Linked DNA regions of Oryzias latipes. The protein of the gene in region 1 interacts with the protein of each later gene in a pairwise test. Links are inferred from orthologs where the notes say so. Each region holds a gene or a part of one and is shown in the gene's direction. Other genes may lie near its edges. The genes, in order: ras-related protein O-Krev and ral guanine nucleotide dissociation stimulator-like 2.

Region 1 (16,281 bases):
AGAAGATTCGAGCTTCGTCTCTCTACGTGACTAACGAGAGGTATGTGGACTGGATTGGAGGAACCAACCTACCATTCAGGAACGTGATTCTAGCTGGAGTTCTCTCTGTGCTGCTTTTATTTATTCCAATTTAACGTCTTAAAATGCAGATAAATCTGCTTATTTCTACCTTGTGTAACACGACTTCCTCTTTTGCAAATGTCTTATTCAAACATCTGAGTCATTCACTCCGGAGTTGAAGCTAGCCTTTATGTAACTTAGCGCAGTGCAGCAGAGACACACAGAAATAGACTGTGTTGATAAGGTCAAATGGGTTAGTGGAACTAATGTTAACTGAGATATTCTTGAAATATTTCTAGCTATGTACATAGATTCTGCCTTTTTTTTCTTTTTTTTTTGAGTTTTGCCCACTTTCAAGGAAAAACTGCTTTGAGTTTGAGCAGCTAAGGGAGAAAGAAGGTACAGACGGACATTTGCAGATGTGGTCTTGAACTTAAAGGAACTGAAAGAATTAGTCCACCATTTTCTGAAATAACTACATGTAAGCATCAATATATCTCAGCTTTTAGCTGTTTTTAGATCCCATTTATTGCATGATTGCAATTTTCTTCTAACTTTATAGTAAATATGTGCGATAGTTTTCTACATGAACTTGGAGCTTGTAAATATTTTGAATTAAGTCTGCTGAATTCTGGATGTTGATAGTGGAATCTATTTGACACACAAATGAAGATAAGTGGGCCTATATCATGCTTTTCTTAAGCCTTTTGGAGTAAACTACATCCATATGTATGATCGGTTTTTACTCCTGGCACACGAAAGAACAAATTATTTATGAAATGAGTTGGGTTTTTTTAAGTGTACAATTTTCCTACCCGGCAGAAAGGCGACTTGATCTCAGAGGCACAGACTTTCGCTCCTTGTGGATGTCGCCCATTTCATGACGTCATCCCAGAACCGGCCTCGGCTGCGTGTCTGACTTTTGCCCCACAAAAACAAGTAACATCCACACTTTTGCAAAGATGGATGTGCATATTGTGCACATGAAATAACAGCGTTTTAGCTTCCTGGAAGGGGCTGTTCTCACTTATCTACGTCTCAATTTTCATGGGTTGGGAGTTGCCGGTGCTCAGATTGCAGGTTTTTAGAGGAACGGGTCAAAATACCACTTTGGGGTTGTTTATATTGAAAAATGAGCATTACAATACACTTAAAAGCTCAAAAAGTTTATTTTAAAAACATAAAAATGTGATCATTTGTTTAATGCGACTCGCCTTCTGCAGCAACATGTTTTTATTATTGAGTAATTCTGCTAGAACATCACACAGCAATGGTGTGTACGAGAAGCGTGTGTGGGGGTAGAAGATCTGAGCTGCTGTTTGATGTAATCTTCCACACTCAGTCTGCGTTCATACAGCTCCATTTAGAGGAAGGGTGTGCTTGGTGTTAAGTTTGCTGGCTTTGTCATTTATTTGCAGCAGATCACTTGACTTGTCAGATTTTATAAGCTGTGTTTTTAATTGGACAAACTGTGTGAAGCTCAATTCATTTAAATAAACAGGAGGAAAACATGTACACAGTCGGTGCTTCCTGAGGTATAAAATGTGTTATTTTTTGAGCTTCGGTTTCATAACGGCCAACAGAAAAGCCAACTTAAAAAGATGTGCTTTTACACAACATTTCCCCCCATCGGTGAAAATGCTGAGTCATCTGCAGGAATGCTGTTCAACTGTTCTACAAACATGACCTCACAGCTTAGATCTTGTGCAAATTAGCACATATGACAGAAGAGTTTTTCCTGGAGATTTGCTGCAAGTAGGGCTGTCCGATTGAACAATAATATGTATCGCAATGAAACCTTTTTTCAATAGAAGAATGAGTCTATTGCCATGGACTTTTATTTTGAAGCGTCTGAAATTAACACTCGCCAGTTGCGAGCATTTTCTCTCCATTGGCAAGTAAAAGTTAGAGGGTTAGCCGCCAGACGGCGAGTAAAAACGTTTGCGTAAACTTAGTCATGTTAGTTTTCTCTTCTGTTGGTGAATTTCTTTTGTCCTTTTCAGGCTGTTTTTATGTGATGATTTTATATAAAGTCTGATCACCTGGAAGTAGAATGAGGAACTCTCTAAATCTGTTCTTGTTTTCCCAGTATATTTGAATTTGAGTTTACAGTTAGATGGCAGTAAAGACGTGTTCATACCATTTATAAATTACTTTATGCATTTTCATTCGTCAAAAAAAAAAATCTGAAAAAAGTACAAAAAGTTATTTAAAAAAAAAACGAAGGTATTTCTGTGTAAAACGGTGTTATAATTTCGTTGTTACAGAATATGTTTAGCCAGTAGATGGTTTGTTTATTTACTTATTTGTTAATCTACTACCTAAAACGACAAAGGTAAGACCTGCGCTGCAGCTACAGTCTAAACTATGAGAAGAAATTCTGAGAATTTGCTTGTAGTTCCTAGCTTATTCACAGGATGTTGTGTGAAGAAACTGGATTTTCTAGAAAGGACTGTAAAATAGGAATATTTTTAGGTTCGTTACCCCATCAGTTTCTTGCACACAGAAATAATGAATAATGACTCAGAGACAAAACTTAGCTTTTGTGGAGGTTTTACTTCGCCCAAACACGAAGGGGACAGACATATGAACATGGTACATTCAAAGTCCGAACCAACGAGCTCAGGGATGGGCTTTGGTATAAAAACCCTGCATTTGCATATTCAGAAGATCGTCCGATGGGCCTCGTGTGAAAATAACGCCCACAGGTTACTGCTGGAGGGAAGCTCCAAGGCTAAAGTGAAGATAAGTCTGAGGCCTGCTCAGCAGAAAACATGCACAGAAAAGAGGGAGTATGGGAAGAAACTGTTAGAACAATAGTTTGGCTGTGCTTTCTTCAAATGTAATATAATTTTGAGATGACAATACATGCTCAGTGAATTAAGTTTAAACCATTAGTGTAATAAAAGTTAAAGGCAGTTTCTAACTATTCTTCACATACCCCCCTGTTTGTCATATTAAAATTATACATGGATAGTCAGCAGAACTCCTGTCATCATCAACCATACACCATTTCACGAAGATTTTCAGTATAGGCAGCATATCGGCTCTGCATCGAAAACAAAAATGTAGAGGTACATGTAAATACAAAAGAAAACATAAAATCAACGTGAATAAATGAGCATATCAGAGGTGGTAGGTGATACATGAGTGTTGATGCGAAAACCTCCAGGGCTAAACTTATACCGTCTGTGTGAAACATTCAGTGAGCAGTCAGGGAGGGCAAAACTCATCAACGGCTCTGTGCCCCTCAGCAGCCATCACTAGGGATACACATGCATCACCAGTCCAGACCTCGGCACAAAATTATTAATTAAAGTTACATAGAACAAGAAACATAATAAGAAATAAAGAAAATAAACAAATTGAAATCGAACAAAAGAAAAACAATAAAATAAATCTGTAAAGACCAGTTTCAACCACGAGCGGATGCGAATTAGGTTAAGTGTTGGCATAATGCTGATAGAGTTGGCCTGACAGCGATAATTCATTTGACACATGGAATCCAACAGGTGACGAAAAGAAAAAAAGAAAAACAACACACAGAGGACCGGAGTGACTAGTTTTATCAGTACACTCCACCAGAAGTAAACCAATAAAGTGGGGACCCAGACCAGTAGGCGTCAGTCATCTGAGAAGAAATTTGTGATTTAAGGGCCTTGACCTCGCTGATGATGTGAATGAGATCTCCAGAAGAAGAGGGAATAAAAGTACAAGATGAAACCACGAGGAACAGCTGGACCCATGTTAGCTGGTTCGAAGCTCACTGTAGCTGGAAGAGAGCAGCGCTAGAGGAAACACACCAGGGAGCTCCCCTCGCCATGAGTGGTGTCACACTGGGGCGGCTTCGTAGTTGGACTTCAACCAGGGATGTGTCTCAAAATGTCAGTCTCATAGGCTCTCAGCAATTTACAGTGGCTTACGGGAATCCAGGAGGGTCGTTCAGCAAAGTGTACTGTAGGTGGCATGGTGAGGAGAACCTTGTAGGGGCCCGTCCACCTCGGGTGTGACCAATCAGTCCGTTGAATGGCCTTCGAGTAAAGCAGGTCACCGACAGGGGTCTTCTGGTCAGGATGCAGAGTCTGTGGGGAGGAGAGAGCTGGAGGCAGACTCAATGCGTTCCTTTGTTCTCACAGCTTTCTTCAAATACTCATGTAAATCATCAATGGTGTCAGTAGAGCCAGGCATGAGAGTAGAAAAAAAAAAAAAAAATCAGGAAAAAAATAAAATAAATAAAATAAAATAAATAAAAATCAAAAAAATAAAAATTGTGAAAAAAACACATTGAAAGTGAAACAGACAAGAACTGCGTCTCATTTCAACAGTAGCATGAACAGGCCGATAACAGTTTGACTAATGGTAATGCTTGGACGGAAGGGAGTGGAGCATACTGCATGTGATTCTGGAGAATTCGCACAAGAGAATCACAGGTGACATTGTTTCAACTATCAGCCGCGCAAGCAGCTGCAGCTTACAGCGAGTGAGTAAAGGTGGGGGCTGATCAGATAAGGTGGTGAGGTCCGGGGAGAGAAATAATTTTGCTAGAAACAGAAACTAAATGTCCCGAAAATTTTAACTTGTGCTTGGGCCAGCTGGAGTTTAGTCTTACCGCACTTATTCCCCTGAGAGTTGAAACTTAGAACGATTAGCAGACATGTCCATTAAAAAAAACGTAAGGCGAGTTAGTGAACCAGAGACCCTCAGGAATGCTTTTAAGGGGTCAATCCTGATTTACAAGCAGAAATGCAGGGACCTGATTAGTGGGGTCAGAAGGCTGCAATCAAACTTTTTATGAGCAGGGGAGAGTGAACTAAAAAAAAAAAAAAAAGGAAGGCTGCACCAGCCGTCCGAGTCTGATCATGTTTATACAAGAGGGAGGTCTGTCCTCCACAAAATGATCCACATCTGCTTTGTAAGAAATGATACTTTCTATTGCTTTTTCTGAACATCTACCCTAGTCCATGTCCTAAACACTAAAATACCCCCAAAAAACATACTAAAACACGTCCTATCATTATTCGGAGAGCAGAGAAAGCTTTTATATCTGCTTACAATGGAGAAATCACCCCTCCTTTCTGCGAGTCCTCATCAGCCTGTCTGCAGGCTCGGGCACGCGCACTCTGATCTGTGAAGCTGTCCCCCCCTCCTTCTGCTCTGTCCTGCACTCTGAGGCTGCTTAACTTTCTATCAAATCCATAATCTTTAAACCATTTATCCAAATACTTGATTTATGTCTGATCCTGACTTCCCACATACTTCCAAACTTTATGAAAAGTTTTCTGGACCTGATCAATGTGCTTTTTTTCTTTTTAGTGAGATTTTGTGAATGAGTCCCACCCATGTTTTCTAGGGTTATGAATGACGATCAGCCACAACGTTCTCAGGAATTCATAGACCACACCAGGCTTCTACAAGAGCTAAATCCCTTGCGGATGTGGCTGTCCTGAGAACCAGCTTCTCAATTTCAATCACAAACCAGAGCTCCCACCCAAGTAACCCTTTTTATGGATCCTCCAGCGCTGAATCTAATCAGCAGAAAAAGCTTGGAGAATCAGAAAAGAAGCCTAATTATTTGTCAACTGAGTCACCATATTCATTATGCATTTATTTAGAATAAGATATGAATCAAAGCCATCATGAGGCATTAATCAAAGCGAGCATACACCACAGAAGCCGTCGCAGAAAGCAGACACAGACAAGACATAAAAAACGTTACACACACATGAATTCCCCGGAGCTCCGTTTGTTCCCAAATGCCGTGCACGACGCGCCTTAACCGAATCTGTCCCTAAGCCGTCCACACAGCCGACAGCACGTTTCAACCGATTCTGTCCCTACGTCGGGACACACAGCTTCCGACGGGTTTCAACCTAATCTATCCCTACGTCGGGGACACACAGCTTCCGACGGGTTTCAACCGAATCTATCCCTACGTCGGGGACACACAGCTTCCGACGGGTTTCAACCGAATCTATCTCTACGTCGGGGACACACAGCTTCCGACGGGTTTCAACCGAATCTATCCCTACGTCGGGGACACACAGCTTCCGACGGGTTTCAACCGAATCTATCTCTACGTCGGGGACACACAGCTTCCGACGGGTTTCAACCTAATCTATCCCTACGTCGGGGACACACAGCTTCCGACGGGTTTCAACCGAATCTATCCCTACGTCGGGGACACACAGCTTCCGACGGGTTTCAACCGAATCTATCTCTACGTCGGGGACACACAGCTTCCGACGGGTTTCAACCTAATCTATCCCTACGTCGGGGACACACAGCTTCCGACGGGTTTCAACCTAATCTATCCCTACGTCGGGGACACACAGCTTCCGACGGGTTTCAACCGAATCTATCCCTACGTCGGGGACACACAGCTTCCGACGGGTTTTTCTCTTACGCTACACACTTCTCCCTGTCATCTCCCGTGAAGGAGGACACATGCACCCGCAGCAGGCTGACTGCAGGCGCTCCTGTGGTCAGCGTGCACGCGCAGCACTGTGACTGCACACGGCTCTCTCTGTTCTTCCCCAAGAGATGAGGCACCCACACACAAGACACAGACACAGTCAACATAAAACCCTAACAAGTAAAGAGAGGACAGACTTTCTGTGTGGCGTACTCACTTCAAGCAATGAACGTCGCTATTTGATGAGGGTCCGACGTCACCGGGGGCACCACCGGACCCAAGGGCGAGGGCCGCCGATCCTGAAGGCGGATTGGTCAATGCTGAGGCTGTGATCTCAGACCGCTAGCGGTTTTCAGGCAACCCCCCCCAGGGGTTCCAGCGATGTCCAGGGCGCGCGCCGGCCGGCTCAGAAGGACCAAATGTGAAGAAACTGGATTTTCTAGAAAGGACTGTAAAATAGGAATATTTTTAGGTTCGTTACCCCATCAGTTTCTTGCACACAGAAATAATGAATAATGACTCAGAGACAAAACTTAGCTTTTGTGGAGGTTTTACTTCGCCCAAACACGAAGGGGACAGACATATGAACATGGTACATTCAAAGTCCGAACCAACGAGCTCAGGGATGGGCTTTGGTATAAAAACCCTGCATTTGCATATTCAGAAGATCGTCCGATGGGCCTCGTGTGAAAATAACGCCCACAGGTTACTGCTGGAGGGAAGCTCCAAGGCTAAAGTGAAGATAAGTCTGAGGCCTGCTCAGCAGAAAACATGCACAGAAAAGAGGGAGTATGGGAAGAAACTGTTAGAACAATAGTTTGGCTGTGCTTTCTTCAAATGTAATATAATTTTGAGATGACAATACATGCTCAGTGAATTAAGTTTAAACCATTAGTGTAATAAAAGTTAAAGGCAGTTTCTAACTATTCTTCACATGTTGACAAAAAGGTTTGACAATTTTATGTTTGTTCTGTACAACTAGAAAACATTTTAATTAATCTGTAGAATTAATGCTTCGTTTTTCAGTGAATTTGTTATGTTTAAAGGATGATGAGTAATAAATATTTAAATCCAAACAACCTGCTGATGATGACACATTTATCTTGTGAGCAGAGTGTACAAATTTGACATATATACTATATAGTTATTTGGATTATATCGTAATATATATTGTTATCCCCTTCTATAATAAATTATATTGTGACATAAAAACATTGCATATCACCCAGCCTTAGATGCAAGTTATGGATGTTGTTGTAAAACTTTAATTGGAGATTAGTGTGTTATTAGCTGGTGAAGCTTTTTCATAATCATTGTCATTGATAAAACACTCTGTAGGATGCATGGACTGAAGGGGTCTGTTGTTTTTTGAATGATATTTACAGCAGCAGAATGCAGCTTCGGATCAAAGCAGATGGTCAGATATCCAGAGAATACAGTGGGGCGAAAAAGTCTTTAGTCAGCCAGCAATTGGTTTGGGAGTGGTTTTCAGCAAAGGGACCAGGACGACTGATCCATGTGAAGGAAAGAATGAATGGGACCATACATCGTCAGATTTTGAGTGAAAACCTCCTTCCATCAGCAAGGGGATTGGAGAGGAAATGTGGCTGGGTCTTTCGGCATTACAACAATCACAAACACACTGCCCAGGTACCGAAGGAGTGGCTTTGTAAGAAGCATTTCAAGGACCAGGAGTGGCCTAGCCAGTCTCCAGATCTTAACCCCATAGAAAATCTTTGGAGGGAGTTTAAAATCCATGTTGCCCAGCAACAGCCCCAAAACATCACTGCTCTAGAGGAGATCTGCATGGAGGAATGGGCCAAAATACTGGCAACAGTTTGTGAAAAACTCGTGAAGACTTAGAGAAAATGTTTGACTGCTGTCATTTCCAAAAAAGGGTATACAACAAAGTATAGAGTTGAACTTTTGTTATTGATGAAATACTTAGTAATTTTCCACCATGTCATTTTCTGTTTGATTTTCTTCTTTTGTCTCATAGTTGAGGTATATACCAATGATAGGCCTGAGCGAAAAATCAATTGAATGAATTAATTCGAATTTTTTGTTACAGGCAATTTAAAAAATAACTAAATCGAGTTTTTGTGTTATGGCGCATTTTTGGCTCCCCAGAGCTTCGGTAGCGTTAGTTTCACACAGCGGTATGGCAAGCGACAAACAACAACATCATAGCACACACGAAAAAGCTAGCGACAACATGGCTACCGGTGAGAGTGGGAAGTTTGTTCCCAAGAAAGGAATAAAATCATTTGTTGATTGGAACTGGTATGGGTTTGCTGCCACAGACGTGGAGGAAGAGACCCCACGCTGCAACATTTGCCTAAAGCTCATTGCAGTCAAAGGCAGCAGCACCACAAACCTATTCCAACACCTGGGGGGGAACCTTTTACTGTTTTCCTTCACTCCGCGGCTCCTGCTGCTTCATCAGCGCTGTGATCAAAAATCCCACACCATCACAGCTCTAGTTTATATTTTTTGGGACACAAAAAAAAGCAACTTCTCCAGTACTGATAGCAGAACCGTTAAGGTCAGATCTTTTGGATACTGCGGTCTTGAAGAATGTTGAACCGGGACTCTTTCAATACCGGGGCTCGGTACTGAAGAACAATCACCGAAGCGGTCGCTTTGCATATAGCCAAAGACATGGTACCCATATATACGGTGGAGAAGACGGGGTTTATTCATTTGATTAAAACCTTAGACCCCAGATATGAGCTGTATTGTTAATCCTTTAGAAAGCGGTGCTACTCTCAAGGTGAATGTTTGTCTCCTTTTAGTCAAAACTACAAAGTGTGGCTTAAAACACAGCTGGGACTTTGATTCCAAGAGTGCATTCATTTATTTATTATTCATCCCAGAAATAGGGGTTACATTTGTCTTGCGTTTGATTAAATAAAAGCAAAATTTGCTTTAAGTTGTCTGCCGTTTGTACTTATTGCTTTCTTTAAGTGGGGGGGGGGTTTGAAATCAAATTAAAACAAATAAAATCGGAGATTTTTGGGCCATATCGCCCAGCCCTAACCTATGATGAAATTTAAATGCCTTTCTCATCTTTTAAAATAGAACTTCCACAATTGGTGGCTGACTAAATACTTTTTTTTGCCCCACTGTACATACCAAGAATCAATATGTTCATTTCATAGCAATGAGCATTTCCTCTTTTGTGTGACATCAGACCTCAACTGTTCAGTCATTTTGTAAATCCTGGCTGCAAATGTCAAACCAATTGACTTAAGCTTATTTTTTGAAGCACCATATTTACTTTGAATTCTGCCAAACCAATTTTTGAAAGCTATTATGTGGCTAAAAAAAATCCTGCTTTTAATTGAACATTTCCTCCTCTTGATCAGGTTCCCATGATCCTGGTGGGGAACAAGTGTGATCTGGAAGATGAGCGCGTAGTTGGAAAGGAGCAGGGGCAGAATCTGGCCCGTCAGTGGAACAACTGTGCCTTTTTAGAGACTTCAGCTAAATCAAAGATCAACGTTAATGAGGTGAGTGTCATGTGTTCATGGAGCAGCTCTGTTGGAAAACCAATTCTCACATCTGATTTCATTCAGATTTCAGTACTTTTGCCATGTGACAGCGATTTGCTGTTATTTATGCTGTTTCCTGTAAACAATAAATGTTACAATAAATGAGCCCAGTCCTCATCTGATGTCAAAATTCTGATTTGGTTTACTGAAAATTATAATAAAAAATCAAGCACTGGATTTCCTCCAAACCACCTAATCTGACTCCTGAGCCTCCCCCGGATGGTGCAGCTCAGCATCCTGGTTCCTCTATAGACCCACTCGCCTAATGCCTTTTAGCTGCAGCTGGAGCTTTTTAAAGCATTAGCACAAAGCTTTCCATATGTGGAGCTCTTCTCTTGGGGAACGTGCAGCTGATGTGAAATGTTCACATCCCTCTGTTGCAGATTTTTTATGATCTGGTGCGACAGATCAACAGAAAATCGCCGCCTGAAAAGAAGACAAAAAAGAAGTCTGGCTGCACGCTGCTCTAAGACTGCCACCCACAGTTGCTCCAGGCCAGGTGAGTGACGGAGTGGGTGTTAAATGTATTGTAGACATTTGCTGAGCTGCAGCTGCTCTCTGAGCTGCAGGTGGTCAGTGAAGGTTGAAGTCTGTGCTGGAAATAATCATTTTCTGGATTTCATGTTAAAAATCTAATCCTGAAGCTGTTTGACTGTTTTGATTGTAAAGTTTAAAAAAACACCAAAAAAAAGTCTACGCCAGTTTTGATGTGGTTTAATGAGGACGAGGAAATGTAGAGGTTAACGAAAATGAACATCATTGCCTGAAGATTTGTCTTTTTTGTTGGTATGAAAAATCTGACGCCACCTGCAGTTGATGTGTGCAACTACAGTTTCTCATGTTAGTGGTCACTGAAACCACTTTAAAAAGCCTTTAGTATAAATGAAAATGAAAAAAACCAAGGTTGCTGTCCTTGCTTTGGTTATACAAATACAGCCCTTATCGTCCTGCCTACCAGAGAAAAAGTTTGGCCCTTTTTTTTTCACCAAAAACTACAATTCCCAGAGCTCCACTCCTTCACGTTTGTTTTACTGAAAAGCCCAAAATGTCCTCTGTAGATCCTATAAGGAGTTAATTCCATAGTGTGCAGTGGTGGGGAGAAATTTAGGTTTAGAAATGACCACTACAGAGAACAAATTTGCAATTCCTGTAGTCAGGAGGATATGATTTATAAACAGAACAATAAGGCTACGTTCACACTGCAGGGTTTAATGCTCAATTCCGATTTTTTGTAAAAGTCCAATTTTTTTGCAAGGCCGTTAACATTTCCAATTAAATGCAAATTTTTTATGATCTCCTGTGTGAAATGACCCAGAAGTGACCCGCATGCGCAGAAAAGTACTCAATGGTGAACGACATCACTCATTGTTTGTGGAAGTAGCTAACGTTAACAATGGAATTTCAACAACAGTGTTATCAACAGCGGAGCTCTTTTTGCATTGTTACATTTATTTTCACAAAGGAGCCAGCACAATTACAATCTTCTCATTTTAAGAAGGCATTGGAGCCGGGATCGTCTGTATCCACTGTTGTGGAAAGGGGATGTGTATGTGCTTGGGGCTGCACGCATGTGTGTGTGTGTGTGTGTGTGTGTAAGAGACAGGACAGAGCGCGTGCAGCGAGGTAGAGAATGAGGGGGGCAGTGGCGGCGCGCATTCATGTTGTATGTTAAAGGAGGAAGGAGAACGAGAATTAAAGGTTTCCCCCAGAATAAATGCTATTGACTCTTTCTTAACCCGCTCTGGAGAATCTGAGGGTCCGAACGGGGAAGTGAACCCTGAAGGAGGATCCGCCTTCTGTCCCCCACGCTTCTGACCACGGTCAGAAAGGGAGAAGAAGGAAAAAAAGTCATCGCGGGGAAGGTTCAACACCACGCTCGGCCATTTCGCTGGAAATTTTTTCAAAAACCGCCCGGTTGCGATATGAGCCCTTGAGTTTGGCCTGAATAGAGCTGTCACCCCAAATATTAATCCAATCGGTGACCTTGCTTCCTTCCATCCTGACTGGTCTCAGCAGCATCGTCCGCCATGGTTGATGTTTATGTTCTTGTTCCCGCCTACTTCAACGCAGAATTATGACGTTTGTAGCATATCGATGACGTGCGGTCGGATTCATGTTGCCTGGCCGTTCAGACGGAGGTCGCATTTCAAAAGATCTGATGCGTATCGGATTCAGGACCACATACCCAAGTAGCCTGGGTCACATTTGAAAAGATCGGATCTGTGTCGTTCAGACTGTCATGAAAAGATCAGATGCAGGTCGCATAGCGGCAAAAAAATCAGAATTGGGTCGTTTCAGCCTGCACTGTGAACGCAGCCTTAAACTGTTATAAGAAAGAAAACACACAATTTGTCAATAAATATCCTGTTGGCTTTTATTTCTTAAAAGATTCTAAATGTTGGGGGAACACGATCTCTCATACAATCCACAGGTCATTAATACCAAAAATGCTTTTATTTTCTTAATGTAGTAACATAAATTCTCATCTATCTAAAATGATGCAAAGCTTGAATTTTGTTTTTTTATTTTAAAACCTTAATGAGTCCATTTGGGTACATTTTAAGCACAACTGTCATTAAAAACCAAATTCTAATCAACAAATTCCTGAAGAAAAGTTTATTCCAATTTTATACATGTAAAATAAACATCCTCTTGATGATTTAGAGTATATTTATTATTGAAAACAATCATTTGAGGGATAAATTAGAAATTTACTTTTAGATAATCTGTAATTCGGCTCACAAAATACAAAAATACTGTCATCTTCCTATTACTTGATGACAATTGAGCTGAAATGACATGTAAATGTATCAGTGGTTTTCATTTTAAAATGTTTTAAACTCCACCCAAACTGTGCTGTAGTCATTGTTGTGTTCATTCCTAACAAACTGCTGCATTCTTGTGAAACCTGCAGAAACAAGTGATGATTTACTGTTTCCCAGTGGATGGTGCCAGCATTCCAAGTCCTCGCCAGAGCAATTTGAAACAGGCCGACGGAAACTTTACCACTCGCAAGACACGGCACATACTCTTTAAGAACCTCTCTGCTTTTTAATGACAAAGAAATTTGTACAGTCGGCTTGGTGACAACAGTTTTTCATTTCTGTTCTTATCTTTTGTTTGTTCTTATCCAAGGTGTCTTTCTTCTGGAAAACGTCTCATGTGAAAACATAGACTGTGGATTTCAATCCACGTATGGGAACTAAAATGTTTTATTCAAAGTAATATCAGTCTTTGACAATATGTTTCTGAAAAGGATCCTGTGTAAAAGCTTGGTCTTCTTGTACATTTCTGCACTAACTGTGTCACCGAAGACGAGTCATTAACTATACTTTACTGGTTCCTCCTTACAAGGATGTGCATAGATAACATCTTTCCTAAGTGACTTTGTTTTATAATGACAGCTGCAAGCCTTCCATATTTCCCCATAATATATTGTTCTTCCACTTTTGCATAATAAAGTTAAGGAAATTTGTATTTTATAGACCGATGGGGGCAACGGGTGTTCTGATTTGTCTTGAGGATGGAATTGTACTTAACAACCTCTAATATTGCTTGTTGTTGCTGTGTCACAAATTTTTCCAGCTTTTATGAATGATTAAATTTTAGTACGTTTTCATTATCTCCTTTGTCTGTTGTGACATTATTGATGGGGTCTTTTAAGTGCTTGTCAGTTGACGTCTCAGAAAGTAATGCCAAATAAAATAAAAAATCTCACTCCACAGCTTTAATTGAAACCAGCATAAACTGAAACAAGATCCTGGAGTTTGAGCAGAAGATGGGAACAAAAGAAGAAAGCAAAGTTGATGAGTTGGAATGTGAAACAATGATCATTTCTAATGAAGAACAAAAGAACTTGTTCTTTAAATATAAACAACCCTAAAATAGCAAACTCGTTTACCCATAAAGCATCAGTGTGCACATTTAGAGTCCCACTCTGGTCATATTTGAAACTATTTTTAAGCGTTTCCAGTGGTCTTTTAATTATGACTGACATTTTTATTACGATGGAAGACAAAACAATTTAAGATTAAAACTGAGTATTTTATTTAAGCTCTGATTGCTCAGGAGCAGACAATAGCCTGCTGTTTAAAAAAGCTCTGTTGTGATGCAGCAAGTGAAATGGGTGAGTCCCTGCTTCGCTCCATTCTGATGCATCCTCTTTCTCTTTCTCTCTCAAAAGTTTGGACACCTCATTCAAAGAGTTTTCTTTATTTTCATGAAAATAACGGCATAAAAACTATGAACACGTGGAATTATATACATAAAGTGTGAAACAACTGAAAATGTCATATTCTAGGTTCTTCAAAGTAGCCACCTTTTGCTTTGATTACTGCTTTGTACACTCTTGACATTCTCTTGATGAACTTAAAGAGGTAGTCACCTGAAATGGTCTTCACTTTACAGGTGTGCCCTGTCAGGTTTAAGAAGTGAAGAAAGAAGAAAAAAAGCAGCTAAGTACAGAAAAACCAGTGGCCATCATTACTTTAAGAAATGAAGGTCAGTCAGTCCGAAAAATTGGGAAAACTTTGAAAGTGTCCTCAAGTGCAGTCACAAAAACCATCAAGCGCTACAAAGAAACCGGCTCACATGCGGACCGCCCCAGGAAAGGAAGACCTATTTGCCAATGAGCCTTCTGCACCTGTCCACAGGTATTTTGGCCCACTCCTCATCAGCAAACTGCTCCAGTTGTCTCAGGTTTGATGGGTGTCTTCTCCAAAGGGCATGTTTCAGCTCCTTCCACAGATGTTCAATGGGATTCAGATCAGGGCTCATAGAAGGCCACTTCAGAATAGTCCAACGCTTTTCTCTCAGCCATTCTTGGGGGTTTTTGGCTGTGTGTTTTGGATCGTTGTCCTGTTGGAAGACCCATGACCTGCAACTGAGACCAAGCTTTCTGACACTAGGCAGCACATTTTTATCCAGAATGCCTTGATAACCTTGAGATTTCATTTTACCTTGCACAACTTCAAGACACCCTGTGCCAGATGCAGCAGAGCAGCCCCAAAACAGAACTGAGCTTCCGCCATGTTTCACAGTAGGGACGAAGTTCTTTTCATTGTATGCTTCATTTTTGAGTCTACGAACATAGAGCTGATGTGCCTTACCAAAAGCTCCAGTTTTGTCTCATCTGTCCAAAGGATATTTTCCCAGAAGCTTCGTGGCTTGTCAACATGCATTTTTGCAAATTCCAGTCTGGCTTTTCTATGATTTCCTTTCAACAGTGGTGTCCTCCTTGGTCGTCTCCCATGAAATCCTTTCTGGCTCAAACAATGACGCATGGTGCGATCTGACACTGATGTACCTTGATCTAGGAGTTCACCTTTAATGTCTTTGGAGGTTGTTCTGGGCTCTTTGGATACAGTTCCAACTATCCGTCTCCTCAAATTGTCATCAATTTTCCTCTTCCGGCCACGTCCAGGGAGGTTGGCTACTGTCGGTTGGCTATTATTTCTCAGTCTTTTATGGAGGTACCGTCATTTTTGTCCAGCCCTATTTCATTAGTTTGTTTTTATAACCCTTGTGGTATCCTAGGCACTTTAACATTGGGAGTTGGGTCATCTAGACCCACTAGACACCGTGCTGAACCTATTTTCTTCAATGATTTGTGATCTTCACTGGTGACCATGGATTACATGAAATCTTTCCACCTTTGTCCACCTTTGTCATGGTAGGAATAACACGTCAATGTAAGGATGGGGTCATCTAAGATAGCACTAAGGGTTAAATAATTCTGTTAATCAAGAACTCAAAAGTAATGGCTGATTTTGATTATTTAATGTTCAATAAATTTTAATTTAGTATTAATTTTGAACATTTCAAGTAATTTAAGTGAGCATTGTGGACTTTCTTTCTTTAACTGAGGGGCACCAACAATTTTGTCCACCACTGTATATACAGTACAGACCAAAGTTTTGGACGCCTTCACATTCTGAAGAGGGCCAGAGCTCCTCCGCCCATCATGCAGACCTTCTACAGGGGCGCCATCGAGAGCATCCTGACCAGCTGCATCACCGTGTGGTACGGAGCCTGCACTGTGTCCTGCCGGAAGACTCTGCAGCACATTGTGAAAACAGCTGAGAAGATCGTTGGTGTCCCTCTTACTGGCCTCTCGGACGTTTACCGCTCCCGCCTCACCCGCAAAGCCATCAGGATTGCAAGGGACCCCTCACACCCATCCCAGAGACACTTCAACCTGCTGCCATCAGGGAGGAGACTGCAAAGTCTGCAAGCCAGAACCAGCAGACTAAAAGA
Region 2 (16,971 bases), on another chromosome or scaffold:
ATCACAAATTCCACGTCTTCAGTTTGAAGTACTTTGATTAAGTAAACAACTTCTTAAGAAACCTTTTAAAGTCGCACTCTGGTCATCTTTTTATCTATAACCAGAGTGCTTCCGGTACTCTTTAACTAAGTAAGTATGTAAGTAACCTTTTTATTTTGGACAAGTGAAAACAAGTGTAGAATAACAAAATAAGACAAAAACACGACAAAAATGATATAAGACAAAATTATATGAACAACACAAGTCCAAAAGGGAGTGAGAAGAAGAAAAATCTTATAAACTCTCACCCCCTTTACTTTAAGTCCTTACATTCCTAACTAAACCCAGTACACCTACCATCAAAGTCCAGCGCCTTACCCAAGTGTATATTCGGTTACAGCTGCAAATGTAATTCTTATTTCCAGAAAAATACAAAACGTATTTTCTAAGTATGCAGATTTACAAAGGCTGATGTTCTGTATTGTTTTGTACCGTATTTTCCGGACTATAAGTCGCCCTTTTTTTCATAGTTTGGCAAGGGGTGCGACTTATACTCCGCAGCGACTTATATTAGAAATAAATTGAAATAAATACATCGTTAACCCTCCTGTTATGTTCATTTGTGAGTAACAGAGATGATGTTCCTGGGTCAATTTGATGTATGAGGTATGTTAAGTGTTAAGAGTGTGTTAAGTGACTCAGAGAATCAGCAAACCTTTTTTTACAGTAAGATCTTGAAGGCTAATGATTGGATGATAATCCAATGATTTCATAGATTCAGAAATGCAATAAAAATGACAACTGTTTCTACAAATACAGGATGAAAACAGAGTATTAGTTGGCCAATGATGCTTCATGAAAGGAATAAATAAATATGAGAAAGAATTACTGTGAAATTATGAGATAAACAGTCTGCTATGATTGTGTCATATGAGGTTGTGGAACTTATTAGTTCTTGGTCTCAGATTTTGTCAAATAAATTTCCCGTCAAAATGCGACTTATAGTCCAGTGCGACTTATCTGTGTTTTTTTCTACTTTATAATGCATTTTTGGGCCGGTGCGACTTATAGTCCGGAAAATACGGTATTTGTACATTTTTGTCAATGATCATATTTCTGTATTTATACTTAAATTCTTTTATGTTTCGAAATTGTTTCAAGTATTTACTGGCTCTGTTCCACAACTTCACAAACTGAAACACAAAATCTTTTTTTTATTTGTACGTGCTTTATGTATGAGAAATTAATTTTTTTCCCTAAAATTGTATTTTTCCTCTCTTTTAATAAATAACCTTTCGATATCTGTCGGTCATTTAATCATGATGATGCTGTTTTTAGCCAAAATCAAAAAACCTGTCATTTCTTGGTCAAGGTTTCTGCAGAGCAGCAGGAGTTCAATAGAAATTCACCTCTGAGTTGTGGGCGCAACTGTTTGTGCTGATATAGCTGAGAGCTCTCTGTTTACATGCTCTACTTTTTTATAAATGAGCTTTACTTAAAAGTTCATTTAAATATTTTTCTGTTGCTTCCAGATTAGAGAATCCACCCGGCGACAGCGAGCGAAGCCACATCAGACAGGCTTTCAACAAGTGAGTTTCTGCAAAACGTTTTTTCTTTTGACTTCACTCTATTTTTAAATATGTGTAGCTCTGAAGGTCGCTCTACTTCTTGTTTTTTTAACTTTAAATAAAGCCCAATTTTACACATTTAAATGTGAATCCTAACTTCCTGCTTGCATTGGATGCAGTCAGGCTGCAGCAGCTTTAGTTCATGCAGCAAGTTGCTTCATTTTCTTCTAATACTTTATCATATTTATTTTCTTATTTTTTAAGTGTTTTAATCACAGAATTTCCTTTTTTTTTATATTGATATGATTTATTTATATACAATTCTCTCTACTTTTTATTAAAAGTTCTTTTCTGTGCTTATTTTCTAATCTTTCCCTGCTGTCAAAGTGTTGTAAGATGCAAAGTATTATTAAAACGTTTGAGACATTTATTTTGAAAAGCCCCACAAACTTTGGATGATGCATCCCTATAGTTTCCTCTCTTACTTGATGGCTTGGAAGGGTTCGGTTTATGGAAGTCAGTCAGTCTGCATGCTCTGTGTTCCTCTGCAGAGCGGTGTGCACCGTCTTCAGGACGTGGCTGTCCGAGTATCCTGAAGACTTCCACAGTCTGGGAAATCCCACCTGTCTGCTCCGCTTGGCTCCACTCCTCCCTCAGGACTCATCATCTGCAGCTGACCTCCGTGCCCAGCTCCTGAGGATCGCAGAGGAGCTCAGCGAGAAAGCCCTGCTCCTCGACTCCCGCAGAGGTTTGGAATATTAGTTGAATATTATATTAGTTGTTGAATTCTGAACAAATGAGCTGCTAATGCATAAAAAAACAGATACTTACACTCAGTGCATAATATCAAAGAAAAGAAAATGGCAAATTTTTGGGGGGTTTAATGTTTATCTTCACATTTCTGGAGTCAAAATGTTTAACTAGCATGACCGGATCAAAGCTGGAGATGTTTGACTAAAAATGTTGGAGGTGCAGCTTGGAGCCAGCGAGGTTTGCTGCTGCAGCGTCGATGGCGTGATGTTTGGACACGCCCTAATCCTGCTAACAACAAGCTGCAGATCCTCTGGAATTATTCAGCCCAACGACATTTGTCTGTTCACGGCTGCAGCTTACCTTCCTGTTTTTGCTGATCTTCTGCAGCAAAATTCTAATATTCAACAGTGACCTTATTACCATTTTGCAAGGAAAAAGGAGCTCTAGATTGATATACAATGTACTGACTTTTTAAAATAGTGTTGGTTGGTATTCTTAATTAAACTTTCAGTAAGGTCAAAATAGATGGTAGGCTAGGTGATGAAAACACACTTTTCTTGTTTCTCATAAAACATTAAAACATATAATATCATTTTTTTTAAAGCGATAAAGCATGCATTTCAATGTATTTATAAAGCTATTAAAATGTTAAATTTAATTCAAATTGGAAAAAGAGAAGGACTCAAATGGTGGCTTTTCAATGGAACAGGAATAAAAAGACTCATTCTTAGTGGAAATGACAAATCCACTTTTAAAATGATGCAAATCTCCGGCTAACTTGTCTCTTGAATTGCTCTGAAACAACAGATTCATGTCCTCACTGAGCAGCAGCTTTGTTTGCAGATCGGTCCAGTTTCGACAGCCCCCCTCCCAACCCGTCCTTGTTTGAACCCACCAGCATCCTGGGGTTTCCTTCGTCGCTCATCGCCGAGCAGCTCACCAAGATAGAAACGGTCAGTTCAGGTTAACAGTATGGTTTCTTCTTGCTGCAACTATTAAAGGTTTCTTAAAAAGTTAGATGTTAACAGTCAAACATTCTGAAGGCTTTTCAGCCTCAGATGATGCAGTAAACTTTAGGAAATGTTCTATTTTTAATTTCTCTACACCTAGTCCATATTTCTCTTTGACGGCTCGGGACCTTAGATCTTTTTGGAAAGGACGTCTAATCTGCGCTGACAGGAAGTGTCCATGTTTTTCAGGAGCTGTTTGTCCGTCTGGTCCCGTACCACTGTCTCGGCTCTCTGTGGTCTCAGCGGGACAAGAAGGGCAGAGAGGGCGTTTGTTGGTCCGTCCGGGCCACCGTGCGTCAATTCAACAAGCTGGCTAACGCCGTTTTAGCCTCCTGTCTTTGGCCCACAACGCTGCGCAGCCAGCAGAGGGCGCGGCTGCTGGAGAAGTGGATCGGCGTGGCAGAGGTCAGTGGAATGGCACCCTCCATGATTTCATACTTGCATAAAGTGATCATTAACATTTTAATGATACACAAATATTTTTAAAGTGTCTTTTAATTATGATTATGCCGTTTTTTCAGCCAAAATCTGAAACCTTTGTCGTTTTCTCGGACACAGTTTCTGCAGACGGACAGGAGTTGATTGGAAACTCACCTCTGAGTTGGGGGTTGGACTGTTGGCCCATAGCAACCCCGCCCCCCTTTACCCTTCCTGCTGCTGAAAGCTCTCTGTTTTCATGCTCTCCTGCTAGCTTACAGCTCCTCACAACCCCAAACTAACATTATTGGTGCGACAAAAATGGCGAGCAATATTAGAGCCATCCAGCCAAAACAGTAACAAAGGTTTCTATTTGGAGTCACATTTCAAATTCACCGCAGACTCTCAACAAAGTGTAGAGTAAAAATTTGCATAAGGATTCTCACTTTCGTCGCCAATCAGTCACAATTCATTTGCAGAGGTTGTAAGCCCCTCCCTCCGAAGAGTTGTGTCACATTTCTTCCTCTTTTGCAAACTTGTGACGGATCAGAATATGAGTGACAGCTCTGTGAAAGGTTTGGTGTTCACATATTTGACTAAATTCAAAATTCCAGTGACCTAAAAGTGAAGTTTTGAGACCTGAACCAAATGGAGAAGCTGGAATCACGTTTGGGATGTTTTTAGACTCTCAGGAACAATATTTAAAACTTGAGACCAGCCAAGTCATGTGCAAGTTTTAAGATCAGAGTTCACGATTCAACAGTCGGAAAGAGACTTGGACAAACATGGATCAATGGAAGAGTTCAAGAAGTAACACTGGCGAGCAGCGAGAAGACAGAGAAACATCTGGACTGATGTTCTGCTAAGGAATTTAATGGAAGGAGTGAATCCCCAGACATCTACGGTCACACTAACAAAACAAAAGAACTTCAGGACAACAGTCAGGCACGGCAATGGCAGTGTGATGGCGAGGGATGGCTTGAAATGATGGAAAACATTTCTAAAGGGGAAAGTCTCCCTGAGTTCATTTGCTCAAGAGCACAACGGTACAAACGCAAAAGAAAGTTCACTTCTGATTCAAACTACCTAAAGATTTTGGGAGAATCGGGCTCAAAATTGGATGGTTCCAATGTTGCTCGCCATTTTTGTTGCACCCCTGATGTTATGTTGGGGGTGTGAGGTGCTGTGAGCTAGTGGTAGAGCATCTAAACAGATGGGTAATAGAAAGGGGGGGGCAGGGCTAACTTCACGCCAACAGTATCGTCCACAACTCAGAGATTAATTTCTAATGAGCTCTTGCTGCTCTGCAGAAACTATGTCCTGGAAAGCGACAATTTAATTTCCTTATATTTTGGCAAAAAACTTCATAACCATAATGAAAAGACCATTGGGAACGCTTTGAAAACAGATCAAAAGATGATCGAAGTGGGACTTTATGACCATAAATAGACTTTTACGCTGAAAAATCCCTTGTGTGTTTGAAATACTTTTTCTATGGAATGAAACTCTATTAATTCATTATTTATGATGGGCTGGGGAAAGAAGGTGTACTTATTTAGGTTCTCCTTCTTTAAATGTGTAAAACTTTTCATTTTGTTTTTTTATTTTCCTTTTTTCTTTTCATGGGAAATTTTGTGGGAATTGAACTCCCTTTCTGGCACACAAAAGATGTTTTCATTCCATGTTTCCCGATCTGTAGTCACACTAAGGGAACTCTAACTCTAAGGGGCATTTATGATATACGAGCTGTGTGCAAACAAAGTGTTTGGCTCAGCTTTCGGCGTTATGTCAGAGCGATGACAGTGCAAACACACACACAGACTCTGGGTTTCTGTCTGCAGGGTATCTCTGGTCAAACTGTGGTTTGTTGGCTCACTGCTGGTTTCTCATTGGTTTCCTCGCCATTCCATCCTCATCCAACAGAGGAAGGAGCGTCTGTGTTTGTTCATGCAAACGCCTGTTCATGCGTGTGTTTGTGCTTCCAACAGGAGTGCAGAGCCAGGAAGAACTTCTCCTCGCTGTACGCCGTCGTTTCGGCGCTGAAGAGTAACCCCATCCACCGGCTGAGGAGAACGTGGCACGACACCGACAGGTGTGGGACGTAGTTCTGTCAAGTCAGAGAGGCAGAAGCAGACTAATCTAACAAATGAAAAAGCGAGAAACTGATGATCAATAGCTCTGCAGCGAGATGTTAGGACAGGGCGGTCCACTTGGAAATTGAGCTTTTTCTCTCATTCTTCAGGCCTCAGTTTGCATGTTAGCCAAATTCCCTTTAAATGTTTAAAGCTGAAACACTTCCAACAGCTGTTTCAGAATGGGGAGGACTTTGTTTTTCTTCCCAACTTCAGAGTCATGGGTTGATTTGGTTCAAAATTAATGAAAACAATTCCATAAAACAATAATCTAAGGTTCTTTTAATTCCATTTTAAGATCTGCCAAGTCTTTTATTCTGAAAATACAGCAAGATAACTTTTAAAATAAAAGATTAAAATCATAAATGGATCAAATAGAAGAAGGTAAAATTAATAATATTTTACATTTACTGATGAACTTTAAGAAACATTGTGTTATTCAGTCTTATTATTGTGTTACTTCTTACAGTAACTTAAGCTACAGATAAATGTCCTTTTAATATCTCAGTTAAATTTCAAATAAGTTAAACTGGGTTATTTAAAAGTATATTTTTCTAGTGATTAATGGTTATAATATATTAGTTTGCACATGCAGTGACATTGCATCATTTCGGCTGGAAAAAGTAGAAATACTTTCGTAAAAATTAAACAAATAAAAGAAATGCAAATAAAAATGTACTTTTTAATGTTTTTATTTTAAATTAAATAAGGTCAAACTGTTAAAAATGAATTGAAAAGGGGTTTTATTAATGTATTAGAGGAAAATTTCAAATGTGTCAAAAATCCGATTTTAAAATGGACTAAAAATAATTCAAAGTTAAAAGTATTTAATGACAGAAGGAGTTATAACAAAAGTTTTCCGTCCTTTTTTTCCATGTGAAAGTGTGATAGATTGATCCTTGCTATTGTACTTTTCATTTCTCCTGGTGCAGATCGCCTTTACGTCATCTGTACATCTAAACGAAGCGGGAATCTAATTGAACCCTTGACCTTTTCCTTCACAGAGAGGCCTTGAGGAGATACGAGGAGCTGGCAGAGATTTTCTCCGACAAGGACAACTACTCACAGACGCGGGAGCTGCTGAAGGAGGTGAGCTGTGCTGCAGATAAGGAAGGAGCGGAATGAATAGGGCTTTGTGTTTTCCGGGTGAGGTGAGCGGACGTGGGGCGACGTCACGAGGTCACGGGGCGTTCAGAGGTGAGCTGGTTCACTCGGAAAGCGGAGCTCACGTGCTTGAGGTTTGATGCCAGGCGTCCATGATGGTGTTTGTGCATCTCCTGTTATGGGACGGCGGGTGAAGTCATTCAGAGCCTCTGCTGGGAGGGGAAAGCTGCCAGTTTGAGCACCCTGACCGTGTTTGGGAGTCGGGTTTCAAAAGCTCTTTTGTTTTCTGACGTCTCTGCAGCTGTTGGCAGCTCGTGTGCCCCCTGCAGGGCTTCAACAGGCCTCAGAGATGCTTTCTCCTGATAAGCTGCAGATTCGTGTTTTGGGTTTTAACTCGCATAACTTGTGGTCAAGTCCACGTGGGAAACCGGCAGACAACCGTCTCCCACTATGTTTGCCAGTAAACGTTGCAAAGCCGCTGCAGGGAAAGCCAAGGACTCAACTAAGTCAACAGAAGTCTTCCTGCGGACGTTCTGTTTTCCTCATTTGTCAGTCCTGACTGAAGCTTTAGACCCCAAATCTCCTCCAAAGCCTTTCCCTGCAGGAACATCTGATCAGGTTCTGACAGCATGATCATCTCACCTGCAGTCGGAGTCATTTAAGACCTCAGCTGCTTGATCAGGAATCCGGTCGGTGCGTTAAAGGGCTTTAAAGAGCAGAAAACAGCTGATGCTCCGATTCTGTCAGCACTTTCACTTCCGCCAGACGTCCGTTTGAAGAAACGCTATATTTAGTCTGCTCTGACTTTGGGAAGCTGCTACGGTTAGTTTGATTAGCTGTGGTGGTGAAGTTTCACCCCCCCCAGAAGAGTCCATGCAAACGTTTACTGTCTTTTCTTCTGAAAAAGTCCACAGCTTTTGGGTGGAGCTTTGATTTCTCTGCTACATCTTTCATGTCTGAGCTTTTTTTTTTTAAAGTGGCAGACAGTTATGAACCGGATCCTTTGGGATGTAAAAAAAGAACAAAACTTGACTAAAAAAAACTTTGTGTGATCAAATCTGTAGAATATGGGGGGTGTCTGAGGTCAGTTAAGAGGAAAAAGAGACAAAAATGATCGACGGTGTGATGCATTTACTGACCTCTGCACATTTACATACAGTACACACAAACACACACGTCCACACACACCTAAACACACTCACATACGCACAAATGTACTTATCCACACACTTCTAAAGACACTTACATCCACACATATACACACTAACATACACACCCACATACACACTTATGTACGCACAAACACACACGTCCATGCACACCTAAACACTAGCACATACACACAAGCACACACTCAAGAAACAAAACATACACATTTACACACTCACCCATCCATCTATCCATCTTCTTCCGCTCATCCGGACCGGGTCTCAGTCTCAGTAAAGCTGCCCAGACTTCCCTCTCCCCAGCCACTTCCTCCAGCTCCTTTTTTTTTTTTTGGGGGGGGGGGGGGGGGGGGGGGCAAAACGTTCCCAGTCCCAGGCCAGCCAAGAGACGTAGTTTAAATCTGCAGTTCTGCTCTCGCAGTGAATGTGTGACTATGAATATCACTGACCAGGTGGGGCGGGTTGAAATGTTGCAGCAAATGTGTTTTTCCTTCTTCTGTCTTTTTTTATCTGCATTAACAGAGCTTCTTGCTCTTAAATCAGAACCAAAAAGCACTGATGGAGATCTTGAGATCAGATCAAACATGTTCCACTTTTATTGTGTGTCTTTCAGGAGGGAACATCGAAGTTCGCCAATCTTGACAACAGGCTTAACAACAGACACGTTACCCGGGTAAGAGCTGCTGAGGTTCTGCTTCAGCCTGACCTTCTACAACAGACATCAACTTAATACGACCTCCTGGTTATTGTTTATCATAGACCCAAACGTCGTCTCATGTTCAGAAACATGAAAGAGTGAAATGACGTCTTGAAGTTTCCTGCTGGTGTCTGGCATGAATATGAAGTGTTTTAGCCTGGGGGTGGAGTTTCACCCCCACAGGCATTCATGACAGCTTGGAAAGATTCAGAAATGATGTAAGAGCCTGAAAAGGCACCAGCCGCTTTGTTGTAAAAGTTTAAGGGCAGACTTTGAGTTCAAGGTGTGCAGAACAAGATCTATGATTAGCTTTTCTTTCAGGTTTTCCTGTTTTTGATGTGTAAAGACAAGCAGACAGGATTCATTGGAAGCGTGTCTTTACTGAATTGAGTAGAGGGTGTGACAGAAACTCTAATTGCTGACTAAAAGGCTGAGAGGCAGCAGGCGAATCGGTGATGAAGCGGCTGCGTTCTGGAGTCGTGTTTGTGAACAGAGGCTGCTGTGGATGCACGTGCACACGCGTGTTCAGTGTCACGGAGGAGCCGGTTCCTCCACATGTGAGGATGCCGGCATCATTGACGGTACTGCAGAACAGAGAGTGCATTTGAGAAGTTTAAAATGTTCCAGCGGACAGATTTCCTGCTCAAAAATAGAAACTTTTTTTTAAATTCGATTCAATTTTTTCTTTTTTTTTCATTTCCACAAAACAACAAAAAGAACAGATCTAGCACAAGTTCTAATAGAAGAAAAATGACAGGGAACAGAAAGAAGAAAACTTGTTTATCTCCCTCTTGTGCAATTTTTGGATTAACAAATTTTAGAGTAAAAAAAAAAGGAAAAATCTAGATATTTACATATATTTGCATCAAATATAAATATTAATAATAAAAAAGGAACTTTAACAAAACACATTTATAAATACTGTATTTCTGCATTATAACATTGGTTTGTTTGTGGTTTACATCACATCAGTATTTTGCTTAGAAAAAGTCAGACACTGGCAATTTTGTGTCTTATTTGAACTTTTTTAAAGTCGTACCAGGAATTCGGCAACAAGGTTCATTTATTTTATTTTTGTGTCAATTCTTTTTTAGAAACTTTTCGAGAAGTCTCAGAGAGCTGATCACGTTTGGGACCAAATAAAAAAAGGTTCTGCGTTTGTGGAGCTTCTCGGTTTGCTCACATGACCTGCAGAGCATCAGTTATTTGTTACTAAACTGGTCACAGAGTAGCGGCTGTTTTCTTTGCTCTTTCAAGCCAGAAAAGTTCTGACAGGGAAGCAGCAGATCAAAGTGTTACAAAAGCTGAGTTTTTGACCATATTCCAATTAAGGAGTAAAACATCAGGGTTTCATTGACATGTGGATAAATGGAAAGGAACGGTCTCTAAAGGTCATCTGATAAAAATGTTTTTTGAAAAAAAAAATCAAAACCTCTGTACATCAAAAATAACGAATCTGAACAACAAATGGGAATATATGTATTCATATTTTAAAAGTTTTCTTCTTCTGGGACAAAGGTGGGGAATTAAAAGAGCGGTTGGAAGGTCAGGAGAGTGCAGACAGTGGAATAACAAGTGATCGGCGGTTTAATGGGTGAAATCGATGCAGCAGTAAAGTGGAGCACAGTGCCATTTTCCTGAAAAACCGCTGCAGGCTGGAGTTCTGTCTTTGTGGGGCGGTTGGGGGGGGGCTTGGTAAATAAACAGATGCAACACTTTTTTTCCTCCTGGTGTCTCAGTCCAACGCTCAGGGCACCGTGCCATACCTGGGAATCTTCCTGACCGACCTCACCATGCTGGACACGGCCGTCAAAGACCGCCTGGATGTGAGTGCGCTTCTGTCTGCAGGGTTGGGTTTTAACCTTTTCAGATGAGCTAACATCCTGTTCCTCCTTTGGCAGAATGGCTACATCAACTTTGACAAAAGGAGAAGGGTGAGGGTTGCATGCACACAATGCTTTCTGTGCAAAAAAAAAAAAAAAAGCAGATCGGAGGAAGAGTATGCAGGGACTGATGAAGGTCCAGGAGCTTTGTCGTGCTGAGTAAAGTTCTCTGTTCACAGGAGTTTGAGGTTTTAGCTCAGATCCGCCTCCTACAGTCTTCCTGCAAAAACTGTGTCTTCGTCAGTGATGAGGCCTTCATGCAGTGGTACCACAGCGTGCCCACGCTCACTGAGGAGCAGAGGTACCCCACCCAGCCCCCCATCTGAACCCAATCCTCAGCGCTCTGAATGTAACCTCTGAATGCTCTGTGTCACTGCAGCTACAGGCTTTCCAATGAAATCGAACCTGTGGAGCAGAGCCCCCGCTGCCTGGCCCCCGCTGTCATCATCACACAGTGTCCAGAGTAAGTTGAGCCCCTCCCACACTCAGCACATGCGACCCGACACCGGGTGTCTGTGACACCACAGTTTCTAGAAAGACACCACAGTGACGACCAGGCAGAGCTCAAGCTAATGAGTCACAAAACCGCGTCCTGAACCACATGAGTTTCTGCGTCTTCTTTAAATTAATATTTTTGCATTTTATTGGGATCGACAAACAAACCATCAGGAAATATGAAGGGCCTTCTGCACATAGGAAACCTTCACGTGCGCTGGAGTTTCACGTGCACTTTGTGTCCACTTCTCCTTTTACTGATTCACTCTTCAACATGGCACGTTCCTTTTTTCTTCTGGTATGCTTGTGGTGCAGAGAAAGTGATCTGCTGCCCTCTGCTGGCGGCTCACAGACTCATCAGCAGGCAGGAGTCTCGGCTTCGCCAAACGACTTTAATGAGTGTTGGTGTGTTTTCAGTTTGAGCACGTCCCGGGGCAGCCTGTCTGGCGATGGCGAGGGTTTCTTTGACTTTCACTCCCCGGTCAATAACCTCCTCTCCAAACTCACAAAGGTAACTCGCTAAAGCCCGGTTGGCTCTGTTTCGCACGACTACAACTGCAGGGTTCCTGTGGTTTCTGTTGCAGCACATGAGGTCTCCCTCTGTATCCTGTCTGGATGTCGACACATCGCCTCCAACTAATGACTCCACCCCCGCCTCCCTCACTCCATCCACCCCCACAAAGTCTCACCGGAGATCCGCCTCCTGCGGCACCACTCCCATCGCCAGCGTCCAGGGGTCAGGGCCCGAGATACGGATCATCAAGATTCGGATGGAGCTGCATGATGGAAACTTGTACCGAAGCATTCTGGTAAAAAAACGAAACGGTCTGCAGCGCCGTCATTCCGGATGATGCGTCACACGCTGCACTTGCAGCTGCTCCTCCTGTCTGCGAGGGCGCTAATGACGGTCATCAGGATCAGGCTGGCATCACACCGCCAAGCCAGTGTGTGATTACAGCACATCTAGCTGCCTCATTGTCATTATCCTCCTCCTCTTCCTCCCTCAGGTTACCAGCAATGACAAGACCCCCACTGTGGTCAGCTCTGCCTTAGAGAAGCACAATCAGGACCCCAAACAGGCATCAAGATTCGAGCTGATCCAGCTCCTGCCTGAAGGAAAAGGTACAAAAACATCACCAAACTCCCAAGATAAACTGCTTGTCTCATTTAAATTAAGAGAAAAGGTTTTAACATAAACATAACAAAAAAAACGCATGTTTGGCAGTTTAGGTTAAAGTCGTTATTAATGTGTCACATAGTCGAATTTACAATGTAATTTGTTGATTTCTTGTTGATTCGTTTCCTTTTAACAAAACCTAAGTATTTTAGCTAAAGATTAAACTTAAAAACATCAGCTAATGTCTATTTTTGGAGCTTTCAACAACTAAAAATGTTGTAAAGAAGAACTAAAAACTGTGAAAGGACACTGTCAGGAACCACAAAAGTAAATCACATTCTCAGGCTATAAACTGAACTAAATCTGGTAAATAAAACCACGTTTGGGAAGCAACAGTTCTGGAATATTTAAAGAAAGAAACAAAAATGACCATTTAGGTTATGTTGGACCAATCAGGTAAAGATTGTGAATAATGTTCAGGAACATGAAGATGCACAGAGGGATCAGGAAATGGAGAACAGGAACATTATTCCACAGAGGTGTGGAATGATGGACTAACTCTCCACAGGCGTGGCTCATCCAAAGAACACAAGGAGCAATAGAGGAAAAAAACAAGTTGAGCTGGTAAAAGTGCTTTTAGACCCACGGTTCTGCATCTCATCACTGGCTGTGATGAATCGTTTGTGGGAATCTCGGTCCAGTTGCCTCACAAACACAGAATCTCTAAACTTCTGCCAACACCATCTGCTTTCAGAACTCATCATCCCGCCCACAGGAAACGTCTTCTACGCCATGTCCTCATCCAGCGTTGACTTCCTGTTGAGAAGCAAAGGTGGGAACAGTCCCTTTTGCTCGCCGTCAATCAGCCCAGAGACCAGCGCCACCTTTCCTCGGATCAAGGCCAAGGGGCGGAGACTGGTCCGGAACTTATTTTGACGAAAGCTTCATCCTCAGCCACAGATTGTTTTTCATTGAACACATAAATCTGCCAAAAACACCAAAAACAAGGGGTTTGACGGTGTGCTGAGTCGGCGCTCCTGAACAATATGCACCACTATTTCCCAGTGGGAAGCAGGTGCTGGTTTCCACATCCCTGTTCGTTTTGCTTTTCAAATTCCTGATCGGAGAGGAGCTTGGAGTTTCCCGCGTGGCAGTAAAGCGCTGCTGTATGCAGATGAGTCATGTTTTGTATATATTTCTATATGTCTGTATGACGTCAGTGTTGTGTTTACACTGACAGAGAGCTCCAGCTTCCTGGTTGACAAGTAAAAAAAAAAGCATAAGTGCAAAAACAAAGTGGATTCTTTTAACCCTCCATCTCAGCTAAAGGCTGCTCTTATCACTGTTTGATGGAGAATGGCGCCAAGGATTTGACCAAATCTGCTGCTCTGTGAAGCATTTTTTTTTTCACCCCTGAAACCATAATTGTCTTTAAAAGCTTCATGTCCAACAATTTAGAGAGAAAAAAATTTATCGGTAGATGATGTCAGACATTTAAAAAGATGTGATAAAACACTGAAAAGTTGAAAGTTTAGCAGGAAATATTGAATTATTGCAGCTTTGAAAAAGCACTTTAAAATATTTGGCTTCGCTTTAAGCTCACAGCTAAACCCCCAAAACATGTTTTTTTTTTACACCTGAAGGGTTAACTGAGCATCAGCTAAGCCTCCATTTCCCATCAGCCTCAGCTCCATTTTCACGGGGTGAGATCTGAACCCGAACAGACGAATCCTGTGACCCCAGGTCAGCCCGCTTGGAGCTGATGAGGCCGCTCGATCGGCTGAAGCGCAGGCATTTGCAGGACCGGGAGAGGATTCTGGGTAATGCTGATGATCTTTGCCTTGCTACTGACTGTTTTAGTGCCTTCCTCCTTTGGGTGCTCACCTTTGTCATGTGCTGAATGTACACGTGGAGGAAATGCCGCCGCCTCCAGCGCTGTTGTTTGACATCAATGCTATTTATGCACTACATACAGGATGTCCTATTTTTGTGGTAATAAATTTACTTTCATATGAACTTGGTTGGTTTGGATGATGTGCCGTAACAAACATTTAATTCAGGGGGCAGTTTTCCTTATATAAAAAAAAAAAGCAACTAAGATTGTCTCTAAATGTCAACTGAATGCTGACATTTTAAAGCAGGCTGATTATATTTGACATCAATGACAGCTAATGCATCTCTCTGGTCTTTTTATTGGACTAAAGACAGCCGACGTCCTTATCTGCAAGCATAATCAAGGTCAGATGGAACTCATGTGGATGGAAATGTCACACAAGCATAAAAGGACAGCGAGAGAGCGAGCTGCACTCATTTATTAAAAATTCATAAAGTATTACAGCGCTGCTGTCGCCTCATGGCTGGCTGTCTCCTTTATCCTCTGTGGAAAGTGTCCCGAGTGTCTCTGAGTGAAATTAGTCCTCTTCATGTAATAGAGACATCCATAAACCTCCTGTCTGCGTCTCTGCACACTGTCGCGCTCCCTGAATGCCATTTTTGGGGAGTTTTGTGCATTTAGAGGAACTGGTTCTTCGTGACACATCCAGACTGAGATGGAGTGATCCTTCTGCCTCATTGAGCAGGTAAAGGATCCAGAGCGTCATCCAGAGCCTCTCGAAGGCTGCCAGGGATCCTGTGTGTGCTACTGATCCCACAGTGATCAGGGTCACTCAAACCCACTTTATTCTGAAACATTTGGGGCTGCATGGTGCGCGGTGTAGCGGTTAGCGCTTGCACCTCACAGCGAGAAGGCCCATTTCAGATCCCAGCTGGGTTTTTTGTGTGTTGAGTTTGCATAAACTCCTCGTGCATGTTTTCTCTGATTTTCTCCCACAGTCTAAAATCATACTTCATACGTTACTTGGTGACCCCTAATATCCTCTAGGTGTGCACGTGAGTGTGTGACCTTGCAACAGACTGGCTACCCAACAGTATTTGGGATAGGCTCCAGCAACACTGTGACCCCTAAAGGGGTTCAGCTAGTTATGAAAACAGCTGGATTGACTCCGGATTAATTCCGGATTATTCATGTAAACGATGAACCTTCCTCACATAAGGCAGTCCGTTCCAATCCATGCCGTTCCTCTCGACCTAGATAGGTGGCATTTCTATAATTGTTTTACAAAAATAAGTATATTTGAATATAGGTATAGCAGTAATGTGCAGTCACCTGCAAAATATAGCTTAAAAAATACATAAGATGAATATACTTTTTTATTATCAAAAAGAAAAGTCAAGTTTTGTTTTTTAGACATGTAGCATAACTTTTCAACGTTCACTTAGTAAAAAACTTTCTGCTAAAAAATGTAGCAAATTTACGAAATTTACAAATTTCCTGTTCAAATCCATGATAAAAGCGGTGAGTAAAGAACCAGCAGTCCGTGCCTCCCCGGCACCCAGCCTGCGGCGCTCACACAAACTGGAACTTAGGCTATACTGTTTTGGTCCTTCTATGGTCACAAAAGATGCTTTATTTTTAATTACTTCTTCTGGGTTTTTTTTTTTTTTTTTGCCAACTGTTTAATTACATTGGTGCCAGTTTGTGACCCATGAAGTCTTTTTTCATCCACTAAAAATGCACATTAGAAATACACTAGGTGAGACTCGCAGTACAGCTGCCTCAAGGCAGAGGGCGCTGGTGATCCCAGAGAATGTGACACCACGGCTAAAGAATAATAGAATTAGTGGTAGCAAGTCAGGTGCGGCCATCCAGTAATTCTTTAATATTGTTTAGCATAATTTTCTAAATGGAGGATTAGTGTCTAAACTCAGGAATCTGTGGCGGTGATCTCCATGGAGAGAGAGAGACTGAAGAAAAATGAAAACCTCTACAAACAGGTTATCCACGTCTTTCTTCAGAAGGAGCAGCGCACGTGACGAACTTCAATTATAAGTAAAAGTAAGTCAATAATAACTCTTTTTCAATGCTACAGTTTGTAAACGGAAGAAAGTTGCTAAAATGACTTTTTAAACAACACACTTAAACTGTTGCCAATGGAATAGCGAATGAGCTACTCTGTAGGGTTCATTGACTGATTACGTCAGTGTCTCACTAGAATGGCAAGTAGACTATACCATGTACGTAGTGTAGGAAGCATATTAACTGAATACTTCCTTAGACTAAATTGGAACATTTTAGTTTACAATATATAGAAAGTAAACGTCAAGTATTCTGCCTCACTTTTTAGTATAGACTTAGTATAATTGTAGTACACTTCAATAAATTACTTTTTGCTAAGGGTAAAGTCACAAATAAAACTTAGAGCAGCAGTTTAGTTGTCTGTTTTCTGTGTTGTGGCGCTGCTGTAGATCCTCTGACATCATAAACACAGAAAAACTCTGAAACCAGGATGTGACTTTAAACAACTTCCTGTTTGTCATTTATCAGCCTCAGTCCAGAAAAGATCTAATGTTTTAACTGCTGAGTTTTCATTGACTGCAGTGGAACCACCGCCACACCCGATGATGCAGAACCGTTGACAAAAACAGAAACCTCCTTGTAAAGGTAATGAATAAAAAGGCCCCAGCTGGAGATCCCTGCTGCAGAGCTCTTTGCCGTCTGCTGTTTTGTTTGAGTTGTGGTTTCACGCTGAGCTGTTTTCAGCGACTGTCACACAACACGCCTTCAGCATGCAGTAGGTGAAAAGAAGCAAA

Evidence for each region.
Region 2: the proteins of ras-related protein O-Krev (region 1) and ral guanine nucleotide dissociation stimulator-like 2 interact in a two-hybrid assay, tested with the Homo sapiens proteins (2 studies listed by BioGRID and IntAct). The link is inferred for Oryzias latipes from reciprocal best matches to the Homo sapiens genes RAP1B and RGL2.

Annotation. Positions count from the first base shown.
Region 1 is NC_019865.2:21,758,129-21,774,409, reverse strand, and holds the end of ras-related protein O-Krev, read left to right. Parts: intron 1-9,840; coding exon 9,841-9,984; intron 9,985-10,409; coding exon 10,410-10,496; 3' UTR 10,497-10,525; intron 10,526-12,940; 3' UTR 12,941-13,648; downstream 13,649-16,281. UniProt on the Homo sapiens protein: GTP-binding protein that possesses intrinsic GTPase activity. Contributes to the polarizing activity of KRIT1 and CDH5 in the establishment and maintenance of correct endothelial cell polarity and vascular lumen.
Region 2 is NC_019874.2:28,734,198-28,751,168, reverse strand, and holds the end of ral guanine nucleotide dissociation stimulator-like 2, read left to right. Parts: intron 1-1,511; coding exon 1,512-1,568; intron 1,569-2,098; coding exon 2,099-2,295; intron 2,296-3,131; coding exon 3,132-3,253; intron 3,254-3,499; coding exon 3,500-3,715; intron 3,716-5,715; coding exon 5,716-5,819; intron 5,820-6,863; coding exon 6,864-6,948; intron 6,949-8,742; coding exon 8,743-8,802; intron 8,803-10,565; coding exon 10,566-10,652; intron 10,653-10,727; coding exon 10,728-10,760; intron 10,761-10,888; coding exon 10,889-11,010; intron 11,011-11,088; coding exon 11,089-11,172; intron 11,173-11,621; coding exon 11,622-11,715; intron 11,716-11,788; coding exon 11,789-12,013; intron 12,014-12,211; coding exon 12,212-12,326; intron 12,327-13,075; coding exon 13,076-13,257; 3' UTR 13,258-14,337; downstream 14,338-16,971. UniProt on the Homo sapiens protein: Probable guanine nucleotide exchange factor. Putative effector of Ras and/or Rap. Associates with the GTP-bound form of Rap 1A and H-Ras in vitro.